Linked DNA regions of Pelodiscus sinensis. The protein of the gene in region 1 purifies or fractionates together with the protein of each later gene. This does not show direct contact. Links are inferred from orthologs where the notes say so. Each region holds a gene or a part of one and is shown in the gene's direction. Other genes may lie near its edges. The genes, in order: GJA1 and UBQLN4.

Region 1 (9,576 bases):
TGAATGTCAAATTATAAGAGCATTCAAATTACAATGAAAACATTTTTTAAATGAATTCAAAAACAGCTAAAACTTTAGGGGTTTTCAGCCTCTTTTCCTTTTATTCATACATAAGATTCTAGTTAGGATTCCAACTGTGGAGCCCTTGCTTACTATAGTGAGCAGTGACTCGTGGGTAGAGTCCTAATAAATTCAGTGGGATTACAAATGTGAACACCTACTTGCTGATGTAAGTAAGCACTTCACAGTCTATGCAAAATTTTAACATACACTAATTGAATGATTGCCAACTGCCCTCCACACATACAAAATCTAAAGGTCACACATCTTTAAATAGTCCCAGTTGCTACCCTGATTTCAGTTTGCTAAAGTGAATGAATTATAAAAAAAATATTCTGTTTTTTGGAACGGAATTATTGAAAAACCTCTGTCTCAGTATGTAGAGATTAAGATTTACTAAAATGCATGAGGACCTAAGTGGGCAGGCTTTTGAAATTGAACTGAAAAGTAAAACCAAAAAACCAGACTAAAATGGCATTCAAGACACAGTTTAATTCATGTTTATTTTCACTGTGTACAGAAGGTGGAGCCAAATTCATAAGGATCTATGTACACATTCTTTTCCTGCTTGAAATGCTCCTCTGACTGGCTTTTTAATTTATATAATTGCTTTGATGGAACGTACTTTGTTGGGGGGGGGGGGAATATTAACCAGAATCAATTACACTGATTTTTTATTTTATTTTATTTTATTTTATTTTATTTTAATAGAGCTGTAATTTTCAATCTTTAGGCTCTCTTGATTAATTTCTGCTATCTTTGCTAGCACAGTAAATAGGAATTAGAGGCACAATTCATTGCTTTCTGCCACAAACCACTCAATAAAATTGGGGTAAGTTAGTATGTCTCAGAATGTGGCATGAGAAGTAAGCAAATCACATTGAGTACATTATCATGATCAGGCAGTGGTGACATCTCATGGGCTGCTGTGAAGAATGCACTTCACAGTTGCATGCTGTGATACTGGGAGTGGGTGAAGAGAGCCACATCTGCTAAAGCCTGTCCTCACATCAAACTTCTATTGACTTCAGTAACATCTGCTGTATTTTTTTAAAACCTGAATTTAATTGTTCTTACTGCTTACACAGTAGTGCAGAAAGACTAGAGAGAGGTGAAGTACTTACAATTCAAGACTGGGAGTTAATAGATCCCAGTTCTTATTCTGTCTCTGCCAATGGCTACATGTGTGGCCATGGGTAAGCTACTTAACTTCTCCCAGCTTCAGTTTCCTTATATTTTAAAATGCTTTCTACGACATAGTTTATAGGAGTAGAGTAAGGCTTAACTTTCATTGATGTTTGTAGCACACTCTGAGATCCTAGGTAGATGGCAGGCTAGAATCACAAAATATTACAGCAGAAGTGACTGTGATTTTTACAGTTAAAGTTGAATAATAGATTCTGGTTTTAGTCCTTTCTCACTTTTGGAAACCTTCAGCTGAAATTCTCTCCCAATATCTTTTTTCCCCTTTATTGTAATAGTTGATCAAAAATAGTTCAGCATATTTTGAGTAAAAGGAGAGTCAAAAAACATCTTTTCTAATTAGAAAAGACTACTACTACCTGTTTTGAACATCCCTGCAGTCACAACAGCTGAGGGTGGAAAGGAAGGGCAATAATGTTTACTAAGAAGAAATCTTCTGAAGAAAACATTCATTCTCAGTAAATGTTTATATAAAAGTAGCACCCAAAGGTCTCACTCCAATTTGGGGCCCCTGGGATCTGGACAAGCATAGAAAAGAGATAATCCATGTCCCCAGGGTTTACAATCCAAAGACATTTAGCTTTTATTTGTCCAAGTTAAGACCCTTTGAAATTCCCGGGATGTATGTTTTTGGTGTTTCCTTCTGCAGTCTGAAATTGTACGAGATAAGATCTTCTAGCCATGTAGTCCTAGATTATGGAAATTACCAGAGTTATGGCTGATTTGTTGGACAAATGCAGAACTTCAAAGCTATGAAGAATATAATTCTTCTTGGTACTACTTTTGTTAATTTTACAATATAAGAACAAACCACCACTATTCTAAAAGAATCTTAAGGCTGCACATTCAAGCACTAAGATAAGCAAGAACTATCACAGTTATGGTAATGTGTATTCTGAGTGCCCAACCTTTTACCAGCAAGACATTGGACAGTCCAGACCAATAAACCCTAAGCACACAACAAAGAATGATGGTAAAAATTTGCTGCTCATATTGGTCATCTAGGGTCCTAGTTAAGTTACCTTCCTGGTTAGAGGCCTAATTCTCTTGTAAAGCACCTAAGACAATCCCTGCATGTGTTCCCAGCTGAGTGCACTTTGCATTGATTGGCCTCACTCTTGGAACTGCAGTAAAGGAGAGCTGAGCAGCACAAGGAAGCAGAGTGAAGTGAGATTTGCAGTCAACACACTTATGCTCAGATTGAAGCTAAGAATGTGCTGTGCTTTCAGAGCACTAATAGATTAGTGACACCCCTTTGCTGTGAGTGGGTCTTAGAAGTCAATCGGAAATGTGGCCTCTGTAACGCCCACCAATCTGTATGCACAGATTTCAACATCAGGGACCGGATACCAACATATTAATGCTATATTTCAAATGAAACTCAGCTATTTAGCCTTTCCCAGTGAACTGGAGGATTAAAAAAATGGCAGCATGCAGAATAAAGCCTTTGTTTAGATGTACACATGGGCACTATACTATGATATGTGTGTGTAATAAATAGAAAAAAAGAATACCGGACTGAATGCTGTATTAAAGACAATAAATATTAACTAAACTGTCAAAATATATCTGAGTTCTGGTCAGAAAAAATTGAAACAAAAGTGTAGTCTCTGAACTACTTCCCTAATACAAAGGATATAAATCCTATTATGACTGAACAGAAAATCAAATACCGACTTGGAGTTTTAGTCACAATGACTAAAGAAGCTGAGGAATATAAAAAGTTTGGGTAGGAACCTGAAACTTGCCTGCACTAGTTGAATTCTAGCCTGCCAGCTCAAACCCACACATGTTCACAGAAATAGAATGCTGCTCAAGCGTTGCTTCTTGGCCTCATAACTTTTGCTTCACAATTCAAAACCATCAGATAGCAATACTGGCCCCAAGGAGTGCTGTGCTTTAAGAGTTCATTCAAAAAATGAAGGATCTTTCAGATCAAGAACAGCAAATTTCCATGGGAGAGCCCAAGTCCTTATTTTCATCCACCTCCTTGTCCTTCTCAGTTAGGAACAGACATATAAATATCACAATTCTGAAAAATTTCTGTTGAACACTAAGGAGCCTGTCTGAAAAGCAGCTGTGTGAAAATGTTCATTTGGTTTGAAAAAGTTAATTTACTTCCTCACACAAATAAAGACAAGACTGGAACTCTGGCGCTTTTACAAAGACAGAGGTGGTAAAATCAAATTGTGATACATGAATTCAGTGACAGTCATGTTTAATTTTTAGGGAGACCTTGGCAAGGAATTTGCCATAGAGTAATAATAATAATTGTCATAATTGTCATCTTTCTTCTTTCTTTACAATGTCCTGTTGGATGTTTGAAACAGAACACTCTTGCCTTTCAGAGGGAAGTACCAAAGATTACATTGACTATTATTACCAAATTTATTTTCCCTATAGTGCTTATATTTACTGTTGTGCTTATATTTGTTGTATGGCTGCACTGCGAACTTGGGTTGCTGTGATCAGGCTGTAGCAAAAGAAATAAGTGTTTTGGGATGTATGCATAATCCCTATACTATCTTTTAAAAACAGGAGACAGAGTGGACCCTGGCCTGTGCATCAGGATATTTAGGTTCTTTTGCCAGTCTTCCCACTAGACAGCTGTGTGTCCATCTTTGCCTTACTTTCCCCGATGGAGTAACAATACTTACCTTGATCTATAAAGTACTTTGAGGGTGGTGGGTGAAAAGTACTATGTAAGAGCTAAGCAAAAGACTATGATATTGTATATTATTATATATTATACTTAGCCTTACATAATTTGACATCAATAGTTCCAAGAAGATGAGTAGGTGAATTTTACTCAAAATCAGTGACGAACACCAAAATGGGTATCATTTTACCTCCTCCCTGATATTAGCCTCTTAAGTGAGATTGGACGCTGCTAACCCTGAGCGAGTCCAGAAATACCCTTTCCTGAGGATTATGACCCCAAATGAACTTGCTAAACACCTAGCTGTACACCATCACAGAAGAATGGTCATGGGAAGCTGTCCAACCAGTGGGAGCTGTTGGAGTAGCTGCTAAACTAACCTAGTTATTGCCCAGGCTTGGGAAGTTAAAAAGTCAATACCACCTGGTTTGAAAAATACAAATACAGTTCCTTATGTAATGCCCAGTTCATATGGACACTTGTTCAACTCTGTGTCTGAGAATCCTCACCACAATAGATGGTATAAAATTCAGCTGTGTTTTACAGAGAACACGTTTGTTGTAAGAGGGTTTATTTCATTCAGATCAGGGCAAAAGTCAGTTTGGCTTCAATCCAATTGGAAGGGACTTTTTTTTTTCTTGTGTACATTTAGTGACATGGACTGAAATACTGTGACTACTCAGTGCTGCTCACTATTTGAGACTGAATGCCCTGCATTATATTTTGGGTGTTGTACTGAAACTTCATGGCATGAGTTTTCTGGAATATAAGTTCGCTGCTTCTCAGAAACCTTCACCAAAAAATCATGTGCTGTGTTATCTTCTGAGGCACCCACAGGTATGAAAAGTACATTAACAAACACACTGTTGCTTTCTGTTGAGCACCTCAGGGAAATAGAGCAAGTAAACTAAAGATATGCAAAGAAGAGAATATAAACTTCTCATGTTGTGACTGCCACTCCACAGGGAGGGGAATGAGAAGGCAAAACCGTGTATCCCAATGCAGAGCCTGGCAGGATGGTTCAGGTTACAAACTGATTTTTTACTCTCTGTTCCCTTTCCAAAGACTTCAAACATCTTAAGAAAGTTAAACCATCTCATTTGTCTCAGGTAACTCTGAGTTCGGTTCTGAATAAACTACCACTCAGTGTATCATTTAGAATATCTCAACTCTCCTTACGGAATGATCCTTCATTTGTTCAACTTCAATATGCTCAGTTCTCTTTCCTTTATTCCATAAAGTTTTCTGCTGTCTCTTCTTGCTTTTCCTCCTCCCCCTTTTCTCCTCCCCATTCCCTGACTTTCCCTCCTCTCCCCTCCTCCCTGTAGTGGCTTGTTAAAAGCTCTCCCAGTGTTCAAAGTTAGAAAAAAACTTTTTACAAGGTATCAGCACTTTTCTTTCATTAGTGGGCAAGGAAGGATGAAAACTACAAAACAGCAGTAGACTTTTAAAGTTTAAATAGACAGGTCGAAAGCCTGAACTTGCTTTTCCATTTTAGCTTGTTCTTCCAAAGAGGCACTTGTTTGCTTGCTTCACTGATCATCAGCAAGGGTAAGTTGGAAAGTTTTTACTTTGTTTGATTTCAGGAGTTTTCTATTGTTTTCCTCATTATTGGAATATTTAAAGCAAACTGTAAAAAACAGCAAAACATGTTTAAAATTTATCCATTTCTGGAGATTAACATTTTTGGGGATTGTTTGTTTGTTTTTGTTATATTTTAAACATTTCTCTAAATAATTTTAATTTTCAACTAATAACCTGATTCTGTAACAGGTAAACGATGGCAAAACATCATCTGCACCATGGGATTATGAGCCTCTTTATTTGATTTTGGTAAAAAAAATCAATGTTCACAATTATCTAGGTCTATATTTGCTAGTTTAAGAAAAATAATAATTTCAAAGTTCTGGAATCCCTTGTTCTACTGAAAAGGTCTCAGAAGTTAATAACAGAGAGCTCCTATCCTAAGTGTTTTCCATTTGTCTCCCACACATTTTGCTTTCATATGGAAATCTTGATTGATGTTTAATAGTTTATGCAAAGCTAGGGTCTTAATTGGTTGTTTTGTTAAAATGCTGCTGCTGCTACTAATCTGGTGACTTTCACCTGGCCTTGCTGAACATTTTCTCCCTTCTTTTAAATGAATGTGATAAAATCCAGACATGTTAAAGATTTTTTTAAAGACATTTTGTATATAGTTACTCTGTGTTAGTAACACAGTTAGGGATTTTAGAAGAATCATGCAGCACTCAGACATCCGCTCACCACGCTGGCAATGCCTGTGAAAGTTCTTTAAGGGAAGCAGTCTGAGAATAGTCCCAATATGTCATGATACATTTCCTATAATCTGCCTTGAGAACCATAATAAAGGACCGCAGAGGAACGGAATTCTTGGGCAGCATCTTTCACAGAACTGACCCTTGTCTAAAGCAGATTGCAAGACTCTGGCTTGATTCTTTATTGCTGTTTTCCGGGTTCTTGCCAATAATTAAAGAACAAAATGAGGGGGGTGAAGAATGGGCTTCAATGGGGCATCACAATTGTGTTTTATTGTGCCCAGCTAGGATTTCCCCCATCTTACATAATACAACTTACTTGCCCAGAAGTTTGGGGTAGTTTTCCTAGCAGAATGTTCACGGAGAGTCTTCTAAGTGAGTCTCATTAAAAATGAACAACAAAACAGATCTGAGCAACTACTCATGTCTCCAATTTCTCTGTCTGTGCATGTGGAGGGAACTTGCACAGCGCCTTTCATCTTGCCATCTTAACATCTGGACAGCATACACTGCACTATAGAACTCCTGAAGTCTCTTGACTTTGAAATGTTTACAGAAGTGTTTCCCTCAAAACCTTCAAAGCTGAACATTGGCACTGACCCATGACACCTAACAAACATACAAATATGAGAAGGATGTGCAACAGGCTGAGTTCAAAAGGGGGAAAGGAAGGATGCAGTGCATTTGTAGCAAAATATGTATATACACAGTATACCCAATACATATTGTAAAGTGCTTTCAGATCTCATTTCTATCTAGTCTGAAAAATGAATATAGTCTGATATTGAAATCAAATGAACTTCTGTTTAGGTAAAAAGACACTTGTGTGTAGAAACCTGCAAATTAATGGTTATCTGCTTTATATCTGTGGATATACACGGCTCTGTTCTGTGGACAGGAGTGCAGATGTGGATACACATTTTGTATCTAGAACCCTGAAAATTTGTGGATATTTGCTTTATATCCACAGGTACCATATCTGCAGATGTGGATGCAGATATCCACAGTTCATTTTTGTGGATACAGATGTGGATGCAAATTTTGTATCTGTGCATGGCTCTGCTTGTGTGATTGAAAGTTTGGATTGTGTTCCTAGTGAAACAAATAATATTCTCTTTGCCCCTTGAATCTAGGCATCTGGATACACATTTATATCATATTTTCTTTTCAGAAAACTTATACATGTTAAACATAAAGCACCAAATTCATAATTAGAGTAAGTGGATAGAGATTTCATGATTTCAAAGGAATTTGTAGTCACTTATATCATGGATGAATTTGAACAAAAACATGGGTGCATGGTTCATAGGTTGTTAAGGGATTTCATCATCTGGAGACCTGACTTGTACAACTGGAAGTTCTCATGGAGTTATTTTTTCCTGTCTCGTGCTCGGTCCTCCGGTAAAGCTCCATAAAGATAGATTGGGTAGAAAGAATGAGATACCTGGAAAAAGTGCCTCTAAAGCTTAAGGAGAGGATCCATGCATGGTCATGAACGCTCGGAGCTTAGAAAAGAAAACAAATCAACACCAGCAATGACTATTAAGCACTGATTACTGTGTGACCATTTAGGATGCCCTCTCTGTCTTGTAAGTGAAGTTTTCTATCCTTGAAGTGTATCTAAAGACCTAGAGGTGGACTCTATCTTTCCAGTGGACTGTAAGAGTACCATTTCCTTAACTTTTATGAGACTGCATACATTTAACATTAAAAAACCACAACCCCAAGTTTTGGGCATTTTAGTGCCTTTTCCTCAGCAGCTGGCTGCTCTTGGAAAAGGGTCATGGTGCTCAGTGCTCAAGTGGCAGGGACCCTCTCAAAAGATCAGTTTTGTTATTTATTTCTACTTGTATTTCAAGGGCAGGGTTTTTTGGGGGTGTATGGGAGGGCCAGAGATCTTGGCTCATTTCCTAATCACTCTTGCAGCCTCATTTCAGATCCCACACACTATGAGCGCTACAGTCCTGTGCCTGATTCACTCATTACCATGTGCTCTATGGACACTGCAGTCAGACTTAAACGGTGTAGCAGGGTACCTCAGACTACCCTATCTCTCCTGGAAAATATGACCCACAAGACACAGTGTGAATGCCTTCCATACAATTTTTTTTCCAATTTCTCTATTGTGTTGTATAGATCCAATTTCTGTTACATGTGGCTGTCCCATGCACATACAGATGAGTATTATCATATTTCTTTCTTCTGTGCATCATTTACTCAGTACACACACACACACACACACACACACACATAGTAGAATTGAGAAGACATGTATCTACTAAATTGCTTTACAGGCCAGGTTTAGTATTAGCCATCTAAATAGAAGCTATATCATCATATAAAATAGCAATGAGTAAGAACTTCGGCTACTTGGGTAACACCAAGCCCATGCTTAAGTACCTTGCTGAACGTGGGGAGGAGGAAGGTCTAACTAGTAATTTTATCAGTCCTTGTAATATGATGCAAGCATTTCATTAGGATGCTATTGCTAAAAGCAGTCTAAATCATAAAAGGTAAGAGATATTAGGAGCTACACACTAAAGGAGATCTTCAGTTTTAAAGCAATGTAAAAGCAGCAAGAACATTTGCATAATCGTTCCTTCCAGAAATAAAGTTAAACTTTTATAATATCTAGTAACATAGTATACATTAGTTAATAAAAATGCTCTTTTAGTACACTGAAAGTAACAGCTTAGATCCACTCAATGAATTTTCTCTGTGACAAATTGAAACACTGGTTTTCATAAAACAATAGTCTCTACTTAAGCAAAGGAATAATATGTTTGTGCCATTTCAAGGTTGTCTGCTTAACAGCACAATGTTATGAACTGATGTAGGTGTTTTATCACTGGCAAATGCTAGAGGGTAACTGATCTCTTTATAAAAAAGTTTGTGTTTCAAAACTATGTATGAGTAATTCAAGCAAGGAATGTGTCCTCCTGGAGTTTGTATTGCCAGAGGACATAATGGAACTTAACAATTTTGGATGCTGAAACAAGGCAATACGTTCTAAAAATACAGCAGGTGTGGAATTAAATCAGTCAAAACTGGAGTATATCATACTGTATTAATGGATCAGAGTGGAGTGTAATTAAAAAGCAAGCAGCCTATAACTGCCTAGAAATAACACCTCTTCTGTTTTTTTAATCATACTTTCAATCTGAAATAACATTTACACTGTAACAAAATCCACTGAGCCTGGGGAAAGTCTGCTAATGTAGTATTTTCAAATCATTCAGAAACTGCTATTAAAATCAAGAAACTATTTTGGGGGGGAAAATCTGTTTTTGTCCATTTCCATACCATAATCTTTTTTTCATGAATGTGCCTGCCTTCTCTGTCACAGTGGACCAATGAGGACAAACATCTTTCCTTGGA
Region 2 (10,487 bases), on another chromosome or scaffold:
CCCCACAATGCCTTCTGGAGGAAGTCCTGGCCAGACCCTTTTACCCCTATCAATGTGCCCTCTAATTTTTTCCACCCATATGGAAAATAAAATTTATGTGCAAATGTGCACCACCAGCAGAAATAGGTTACTGGCTGTGGGCACTGCAAGTGTTCTGCTAATCAGCTGGGCAGCATTTGAATCTCTCCTAGGTGACTGTCCAAGGCAAGCACTCAGCTTACAGGGAATGCTGACCCCCCCCCCCCCCCATCCACATCTAATGCCTCTGAGGAGGGACTACTCCTTATTAGGGTGCACTGGGCTGCTTCTTCCTCCCCACTTTTCAGAAAAGGAATTGTACAACACAACTGAAGCTGGGTGGGGGGCCACCAAGATGTCTCTGTTCCTACCGGGGCATGAAGTGGGAGATGTAGGGAGAGGGGAAGACCCTTTGGAGGAGGGGGCACTAATCCTTAATGGGACCACTGATCTGGTCACAATACTTCAGGGACAGGGTTCCCTGATCCATACCCAGCCATGCCCACTCCTCTCCCCCACCACTCCCTTTATACTCACAGGGTGCTCTGGACCCCTCCAGTGTTGGCTTGGCTCAAGACCTGGGTTAGGGCCTTCGGGCGCAGCATGGTAGCAACAGATCCTTTTTCCTCCCTGCAGTGGTGGAAACACACACAGCTCAGAGAGCCTGCTTCCCCATCAGCTGATCAACCCGTGCAGGGCGACTTCAGCCCACAGCAGGCTGGGAGTTGTAGTTCTTTTCCAGTTCTGTTGCATAGACAGGGCATTTCATGCACACAGATTGCAGGGCAATTTCTCTTTGTGGGTGACTAGCATACCGCTGGTGCTACACACCAAACGACCCCAGTCCTTAGCAGTTCACACAACTACTGTGATCTCCTGTAATCACACCACAGGAAACATACCATTTACCTTCATACAAGCTACAGACAACTCACACATTTTGGGTCTTTTTAACATCCCCAGCTGCTGGAGTCAGTTGAACCTCAGCTTTCATGAAAACAAAGTTTCTAAACTTCACGATTGCCATGTTGCAAATGCCAAGCATGTAGAAAGGGAAGAGATAGAAAGAGACCCACGGGTCAGCCCCCTAGAACAATTTTGTGTTCTTTTTATTTGCTTGCTGGATTTCGAGCCTTTAGGAATATGTAGGTCACATTTACAAGATTTTTTTCCCCCGCAAAAAACCCATCAGCTCCATATCTATCTGACTTCTATAGGACTTCAGGTGTTCATGCTGGAAATCAGACACCAAATATGAGGAGGCTGGTGATTCAAAACAAAACCACCAACCTACTGTCTGGGGACATTGCAGTTGTAGAGGAAAAACTGATAAGCATGACATCTAAAGACTCAGGAAAAAAAAGCAAATACATGTTATTTTTGGAAGATCTTGTCATTTTTAAGCCAATCTCATGGCTTCTGGCAGACCTGACCCAGGAGTTTGATAATTTGGGCAGGGATGACACTGCAGCCCTATCAGTGTCATTTTCCCTATTGCTGGTCCCATCTGTTTATAAAATTCTCTACTACCCCAGGTACCCCCAATCCCTGTGGGGGCAGTAGAAGAAAAGCATAGGCAGGTGCGTGAGTGAACTGGGAAACTTTTTTCTTCTTAGCCCTGTGTACCTTTTAAGGACAGAGAATTCTGTATCTATGCAGGGACAGCTATCAGTCTAGGAAGCAAAGCTAATGCAGTATGTTACTGAAGGCCACATTTCTTGCACTCCACCACCATGACCACAGGTGTTCCCTGAAAGCTGGGCACTTGCACAGCCACTCAGGGGAGATTCAAACATCACTCAGCTGATTAGCAGAGCACTCACAGATAGCAATTTTTTTAATGTGCACTGAGGCATGTATGACTGTCCACTGTCCTTAAAACAAAAAAGCTACACACATGGATGGAAGAGAGAAGGAACATTGTTCAGGAGGACAATGAAAATGCAGTTGTCCTCCTTCAGAGTTCTAGGAGCATACATCCCATTTCATCCCCAAATAGGGACTCCTGATTTGTTTAAAAAAAAAAAAAAAAAAAAAAAAAGGCTCCATTGGGCTGGACCCAGGTATACACATATTACAGTAACACATCAAAGGCCTAATTGTGAAGCAAGATAGACTCTGTAGTCCCCCCTCCAAAGAATTTTAAACTTAATTAAGTTTAGCTAAGTATCCCAGCAAAACCAAGCCATTTTGCCAAAGTCTGCCCCCAACTGACAGTGCTGAAGAATATTGGCGGAGAAGGGGGGTTGAAGAATATTGGGGGAGAAGAATTACCCTCACCCAAGTGCTGCTTTAACAACATTGTAGCCCCACAATAATTACATTTGTAGCACAGATAACCCCTAAAAAAGGTCAAGAATCAAATAACTAAGTTACTTTCACACACAGCTACTTACATTAAGAGACTAGTTGCCTATCAGAGATTAGCAAGCACTCTCCAGTGCTTTTTATAGTTCTTTTGCAACAGCTCATTCCTGGGGGAGTGTGGGAGGAGCCTTCGAACCCTCCTTCCAACAGACTTTATCACTAATTAGACTGGGACTTGAGGATTCCCTGCTCTGCCATAGATTTCCTGTGTGACCTTGGGTAAATCATTTAATCTGCCTATGCCTCCAATCCCTGTATGTAAAAACTGGGGGCATCTGCACAGCACTGCCTCACATGGGGTTACTTTCAGGATAATATTCTATAGGTTGGAGGGGACTCAGATACTAAAATAATGGTGGCCAATGGGCCATATAAAGACCTTAGATTGATACACACATTAGAAGAACTGACTAGGCCTTGTCTTTACCAGCCACGCACCAACTGCCCCCTTGTTGTAGTTATTGAAATATGAGCACTAATTTTGCTGTGGTAGACAGTGCCTAATAGGTAGTGGTGTATTTTTCTGGTGTCTTTTTGTTGCTATCTCAGAAAACATACAGGGTGGATCTTGAATATTATTATTATACATAATTAATAATAAATCTTCCTTATGCTTCTTTCTTTTTTTCTTTCTTTCTTTCTTCAGAATCTGAGGAAGTGAATTGTAACTCAGGAAAGCATACAATCTAATACACTAATAAATCTGTTAGTTTTTAAAGTGCCACTGGACTCTTTGTTTTTGCTAAAACAGACTAACATGACTCTGAAACCTAACATTATATCAGCTGCTGATATCCCCAGGCATTATCCACAACAGACTGGATAGCCATAATCAGGGCTCACCGAACCACGGCGAGTCCCACTCGCCAGCCGTGCTGTCCGGAAATCTGCGCATGTGCAGATCACCCGAACCTGGCTCTTCCGGGTTGCAATCTACTCACCAAGGGCAAGTAGATTGTATTATTTGTTGAGCCCTGGCCATAATTAACTACTAGCACAGCTCTGAATACGGATGTTGTATTCAGTGTAGACAGGGTTTTCCCCACACTTCATTCCTATCTTTCTTTCTCACTCCAGATGCCCATTCCCAACTATCACTCAGAACTGTCCCTTCCAATCTGTCCCAGCCTAATTGCCACGGAATCTTTTGATCCTAATATTCCAACACCAGCTACTACAGAACACTCTGACTCCACATTCTATCCCCATGAAACCCTTTGATCCTGACACTCCATCCTCAGCTGTCATAGAACCTTGTTCCATGTTGTGGATATGACAACAAAAATGATTAAATACCTAAAAAACATGATCCATGAGGGAAGACTGAAAGAACTGGGTTTGTTTATTCAGGAAAAGAGAAGACTGAGAGGGAACATAACAGCTTTCAAGTGCCTAAAGGGTTGTTAGAAGGGAAAGGAGAAAAATTATTCTCCTTAACCTTTGATGATAGGACAAGAAGCAATGGCATAGAAGGTTCAGGTTGGACATTAGGAAGAAATTCCTAACTGTCAAGGTGGTTAAACACTGGAATAAATTGCCGAGGGGGGTTGTGGAATCTCCATCATTAGAGATTTTTAAGAGCAGATAACACAAACATCTATCTGGGATGAGATGATACTTGGTCCAGCCATGTGTGTAGGACTTGATGACCTTCTGAGGTCTCTTCCAGTTCTAGTATCCTATGAATTGGTGATATGGAATGGCTTCCAAATGAGGAGAGGTTAATAAAAGTGGGACTTTTCAGCTTGTGAAAGAGACATCTAAGGGGGAATATGATAGAGGTCTATAAAATCATGACTGTTGAGGGGAAAGTAAATAAGGAAGTGCTGTTTACTCATTCCCATAACAAAATAACTAGAGGTCACCAAATGAAATTAACAGACAGCAGGTTTAAAACAAACAGGAAGTATTTCTTCACAAAATGCACAGTCAACCTGTGGAACTCCTCATTAGAGGATGTTGTGAAGGCCATGACTATAACAGGGTTTAAAAAAGAGCTAGATAAATTAATGGAGGGTAGGTCCATCATTGGCTATTAGCCAGGATAGGCAGGGATTTTGTTTATCAGAGGCTGGGAATGAGTGACATGGGCTGGATCACTTAATGATTCCCTGTTCTGTTCATTCCCTCTGGGGCACCTGGCATTAACCCTTTTCAGAAGACAGGATACTGGGCTAGATGTAATTTTCAGTGGTGCTCAGAATGGGCCCAAGATCAGGACCAGAGGCAACTATCCCAGGCCCTGTGCTTTGGGGGTCCAGGGTGGCCTGAAGGATTAGTGGGGGGCCTGGCACTGGCAACAACAAGTGACCTCTCCCTGCTCTGGCCCACTTTGCTGGCTCCTGGCATTGCTCAGGGGAGAGACAGAAGCTGGAAAGAGGAGTGGGGTGGGGGTTGAATGAAAAGGTGGAGTGGGGGCATGGTGGGGTGGAAATGCTGCTAGTACCAGGCCCCCCTGATAAGCCCACCAGGCAGCCCTGGTCTGTGCATCCCCCAGAAGCACAGGGCCCTCCAGAGCAGAGGGCAGTTGTCCCAGTCTGTCCTATGGACAGGATGGCTCTCAAAATATCAGCCCAAATGTTGCTGGAGTTGGGCCCATGTTCCTGAGTATTGGTGGAGCACAGGCACAATGGGCCAATATAACTAATTGCCTATGGCTAGCTGGATCTTTGGTATGACCCAGTGTGACCATTCTTACGTTTTCCCTGTCTGATACCAACTTTCCATCCCTCTGAAACAAAGCCTCCCATCCCCAGTTACCTACCACAGAGCCCTCTGATACCACCATTCCATCCCCAACTACCACGGAACCCTCTGATCCTGACATTCCATCCCCAGCTGCCACAGAACCCCCTGAACCTGACATTCCATCCCCAACTACCACGGAACCCTCTGATCCTGACATTCCATCCCCAGCTGCCACAGAACCCCCTGAACCTGACATTCCATCCTCAACTATCACAGAATCCTCGGATCCCCACATTCCATCCCCAGCTGCCACGGAACCCTCTGATCCCGACGTTCCATCCCCAGCTGCCAAGGAACCCTCTGATCCCGACATTCCATCCCCAGCTGCCAAGGAACCCTCTGATCCCGACATTCCATCTCCAACTGCCACAGAACCTTCTGATCCTGACGTTCCATCCCTAGCTACCACGGAACCCTCACATACCAACATTCCATCCGCAGCTGCCAGGGAACCCTCTCATACCAACATTCTCTCTCTTCTCCTTTTAAAGGGACACCACCCCAGTCTATTCTGTTGGCTGTCAGACGGGGAACCAAAAGGAGAGACCGCGCCGCCTGACCCGCCCAGTCACCCTGTCCTGCCCTCCGCCCCCTGCACAGTGAGTCTGAGGCTGCTCCTGCCTTCCCTGCAGTTCCCGCTCCGTGGCTCTCCCCGCATTTCAGTTCTCCGCCTGGTCCACTCCCCTCCCCCGTGGGGCTCCCTCCCGGTCCGCTCCCACCGAGATTATCCCACGGTGCACACCCACCTCTGCCCCCCCCCAGGTTCTCGCTGTAGTCCGACTCCACCCCCCCCCCCCGCTGCAGTTCCCCGCCGAGCCAGGCGGGGGCGCTGTGCGCCGGCCTCTCCCCGCCGCCGCGGCCGGGGCGCCGCTCTCCCCACGCCGGCTGCCGGGGCGGGCTGGCTGGCTGGGGCGGGCGGCGAAGATGGCGGAGCTGAGCGGCGGCGGCCCGGGCCCCGGCGGGGAGGGCGAGGCGGAGCTGGGCGGCCCCGCGCCCGGCGGGCTCCTCATCCGCGTCACGGTGAAGACCCCCAAGGACAAGGAGGAGATCGTCATCGGGGACGGCGCCTCCGTGCGGGAGGTGGGGCCGGGCAGGGGGCTGCGTGTGGGGGGAGGGGCCGGGGGGGCTGAGGGCGGCTGGGCGCTGCGTGTGGGGGGAGGGGGAGGCGGGCCGGGCCCGGGGGGCTGCGTGTGGGGCAGAGAGCCGTGGACAAGCGGCTGCATGGTGGGGGGGCCGCGGGCTGCGTTTGCCGGGGCGGGGCGGTGGGGGGCTGCGTGTGGGGTCGGGGGCTTCGGGCGGGAAGTGGGACTGGGCCGGAGACCCGGCTGCGCTTGGGGGGGGTGGGGCCGGGGGAGGTCGGAGGTTGAATGGCCCGGGGCATGTGAAGCTGGGGAGCGAATAGGGGAGGGGTTAGTGAAAGGGCCGGGGGGGGGGCGGGATCTGGATTAGGGAAGCTGGGGGGGACCGAGTCTGGAGGGGTGGACCCGAGAGACGGGGCTGGGCTGAGACATGGGTTCTAGGTACGAGCCGTGTGAGTGGGAGCCAGGGAGCAGGGTGGAATCACAGCTTGGGCAGTGGAGGAGGAGGGAGGATCTTGGGACGGGTTTACCTGGGCTGATGGGTAAGGTTTGGAGGAGAGAGCCTGGGGTCCAGATAAGGGATGTAAAGTCCTGTTTAAAATGTTAATCGGTATGTGGAACCGGTGAACAGGGGCTGCTCCAGCTCCTGCTGTGCCATGGGGATGCTCTGGCTCTGCTGGGCCCGAGCAGCCCCCTGCCTGTGGGCTGGTGAGCTGGGCGCCGGTTAACTAGTAAGTAAGTGTGCCAGCAAAGCAAAGCTTACTGGTTAACTGGTTACCCCTTTACATCTCTAATTCAGGTGCATCTGGGGGCTGGAGTGGGATTTAGGGCACCACGTGCAGTTGTGAGTGGATTTAGAGGGAACCGTCGGTGTTGCAGAAACGTGGTCATGGCACCAGGGCAAAGTATCCCTGGCGCTGCTTGTGGCAGCAGAGGCTGTGGCAACCTTTGTTGGTTTCTGTTGCAGGATGTGGCAACTGAGTTCAAGGCTTAGTGGATGTGATGATTGGAGCAAAGTCCCTGTCTGGTCCCTTTGGTACCCCGGCTCCTAAGCATTCAGTTCTTACCAGCCCCTCAGTACCAATGAGGTATTAAGGCAGGGGTGGGGAATGTCAGGCGTTGGGGGCCGAATGTGGCCCCCAGCTTGCATGGATCTGGCCCCCAGGCTCAGCATTGGGGAGCCCCTGCTTGTGCTCCAACCCCCCTGCCATTTGCAGGTTGGAGCACACAAAATCTACTAGCCTGGGTCCCCTAGGCTCTGATGTGCAAGGGGAACATGGGGAGTGTTTTTTCTCCTTCTTACCTGTGTGCAGCCCCTGACTGTTTTTTCTGTGGGTCAGCAGCCCCCGACCCAAAAAAGTTCCCCTCCCCTGCATTAAGGGAATGTTGCATTCAGAGGTGGGTATGAGGGATGCGATTTTAGCTGGGTGTCCTTGCTGGCTTCGCACCCTTGTGGTCATTGGAGTCGAGCTCAGGGGCTGGGTAGTGGTCAGATCATGTTCCAAGGCAGGAGTGGGGAACCTTTTGTGGGGGGGGGGGAGCCGCTGACCCCAGAAAAATCAATCGGGGGCTGCACACAACTGAGAAGAAAAGAAAATGTCACTGACCTGACCCCTGACTGATGAGAGAGAGACTCTTCACATTCTCCTCACACACTAGGGCTGTGTCTACATTGGCAAGATTTTGTGCAAAAACTTGCCGCCTATCTACACTGGCTACGAGTTCTTGCGCAAGAACACTGATGTTCTAATGTAAGAAATCAGTGCTTCTTGCGCAAGAACTATGACGCTCCTGCTCAGGTATAAGCCCTCTTGCGCAAGTGGCCAGGCAACATTAATTTCTTGCGCAAGAAAGCCCGATGGCTAAAATGGCCATCGGAGCTTTCTTGCACAAGAGAGCGTCTACACTGGCACGGATGCTTTTGGGCAAAAGTACATCTCTTGCGCAAAAGCACGTGCCAGTGTAGACGTTCTCTTGCGCAAATACTTTAACGCAAAAACTCTTGCGTTAAAAGTATTAGCGCAAAATCTTGCCAATGTAGATGTAGCCTAGGGGGCCCAGGCTAGTAGATTTTGTGCCCCAGCCCTGTGATGAGAAGATAGGGTGGGGCTGGAGCAGCAGCATGAGCTCCCCAATGCTGGGGGGAGCGTTGAGCCTCGGGCCGGCTTCAGAAAAGCTGGCCTTAGGTTCCCCACCCCTGTTATAAGGTATAGCACACTGAGGGTGTGTCTAGACTACAGGGTTTTGTCGACAAAAGTGGACTTTTGTCGAAACTATACCTGCGTCCACACTGCCTTTGAGTTATGTCGACATAACGTCGACAAAACTCAGCAGTTTTGTCGACGTATGTAAACCTCATTCTACGAGGAATAACACCTTTTGTCACCAGAGTTCTGTCGATAGAAGGCATTATTGCATCTACACTGTCCTTTGCGTCCACACTGTCATGTCGACAAAGCGGCTTGCTTTGTCGACAGAACTGGATGTAGTCTAGACGCTCTTTGTCGACAGAAGCTTTGTCGACAGTATCTGTGGACAAAACCCTGTAGTCTAGACATACCCTGAAAGAAATAGAATGGTAGAAGTTAGACCAAGGAAAGACTTCATTTAGTCTATTTCCCCTGGCTATTGCACCGTTGTTCCCAGGTTTTCAGCGCTTTTCCCTGTTTTAAAATCACTCAAAAGCTGGCTTTCCCTTTATAAACTTGAAAAGGAGAAAGACACAAAAAAGCTGTAGACATGCAAAGGATAAACTGTGTTGCTGGATGAGATCAAAAAGGGGTAACTGATCTGGCTTTGTTAGCCCTCCTTTCTGTTTGAGGTAATTGTGCTGTGGCTCTTTCCCTGCCCCTTCCTGAAGTCTGACCTATGCTTGCCAGGTGGATGCAGGATTCTTATTCCTGTTAAACAGCTTAGACATCCCACCCCAGCAGTTGGTGAGTGAACTGACACCTTCTTGGCATCCTTCAGGTGGGGAAGTTTTGTCAGCTATTGGTACTGTCTGGGTAGTGAGACTGATGTTCTGCTGCAGACGTTTAGACAGTTTAAAATCACTGCTTTCAGACCTTTGCACGTAAACAAGAGTAAGTTCTCATGTCTTAAGCAAGACACGAAAAGTAATTCTTCTGCTCTGCTGTGTGCTCTTTGGGCACAATATTTCAGTTGAGGCCTAATCTGGGCATCACATTTCAGGAAAGATGTGGACAAATTGGAGAAGGTGCAGAGAAGAGCAACAAAAATGATGAAGGGTCTAGAAAACATGACTGATGAGGAAAGACTGAAATAATTGGGTTTGTTTAGTTTGGAAAAGAGAAGAGGGAACATGATAACAGATTTCAGGTACCTAAAAGGTCATCAAAGGTTACAAGTAGGAGGGAAAAAATATTTTCCTTAACCTCTAAGGACAGGACAAGAAGCAATGGGCTTAAATTGCAGCAAGGGAGGATTAGGTTGGACATTAGGAAAATCTTCCTAATTGTCAGGGTGGGTAAGCACTGGAATAAATTGCGGAAGGAGTGGTGGAATCTCCATGATTACAGATATTTAAGAGGAGGTTAGGCAAAAATTTGTCAAGGATGAACTAGATGGTGCTTGGTCCTGCCGTGAGTTCAGGGGACTGGATTTGATGACCTCTCAGTGTCCCTTCCAGCTCTAGTATTCTATGATTTTTGATTCATAGGTCTGTCAGTGCCTGTTAGGCAAGATGGCCAGGGATGCAATCCCATGCTGTGTGCTGAGACTCTTAACTACCAGAAGCTAGGAGTGGACAAATGGGTTGGATCACTTGATGACTCATCTGTTATGTTCATTTGCTCTGAAGCATGTCTGGCATCAGCCTGTTAGAAGACAGGATACTGGGCTAAAAGGACCAATGTCATGATTCAGTTTGGCTGTTCTTAAATCGCTTGTTGTCTATTTTCCAGTTCAAAGAAGAGATTTCCAGGCGGTTTAAAGCCAAACAGGATCAGCTGGTTCTGATCTTCGCTGGAAAGATCCTGAAGGATGGAGACACTTTGAATCAACATGGGATCAAAGACGGGCTGACTGTGCATTTGGTCATTAAAACCCCACAGAAGTAAGAACTCATTCCTTCCGGGGGGCTGTCAGAATCTTACTTTGTGAAGAAAGTAGCTTCGAAAAGGCAGCATTTTGTCCAGGGGCTAAAGCAGGATAGTGGGATTAGGAACTCCTCCTGGGTTCTATTTCTGGCTCTGTGGGGGTGCTTGATCTCTTGTTTAGAGAAGGGGAGCTGGGATTAGGACTCTTGGGTTCTGT

What was found.
Region 2: the proteins of GJA1 (region 1) and UBQLN4 purify together in Homo sapiens (affinity purification with western blotting; 3 studies listed by BioGRID). This does not show direct contact. The link is inferred for Pelodiscus sinensis from reciprocal best matches to the Homo sapiens genes GJA1 and UBQLN4.

The regions. Positions count from the first base shown.
Region 1 is NC_134713.1:86,758,881-86,768,456, forward strand, and holds the start of GJA1 (gap junction alpha-1 protein), read left to right. Parts: upstream 1-5,245; 5' UTR 5,246-5,473; intron 5,474-9,576. UniProt on the Homo sapiens protein: Gap junction protein that acts as a regulator of bladder capacity. A gap junction consists of a cluster of closely packed pairs of transmembrane channels, the connexons, through which materials of low MW diffuse from one cell to a neighboring cell.
Region 2 is NC_134734.1:16,813,038-16,823,524, forward strand, and holds the start of UBQLN4 (ubiquilin-4), read left to right. Parts: upstream 1-6,008; 5' UTR 6,009-6,057; coding exon 6,058-6,213; intron 6,214-10,135; coding exon 10,136-10,287; intron 10,288-10,487. Other genes in the region: ragulator complex protein LAMTOR2, read right to left, coding at 556-623. UniProt on the Homo sapiens protein: Regulator of protein degradation that mediates the proteasomal targeting of misfolded, mislocalized or accumulated proteins.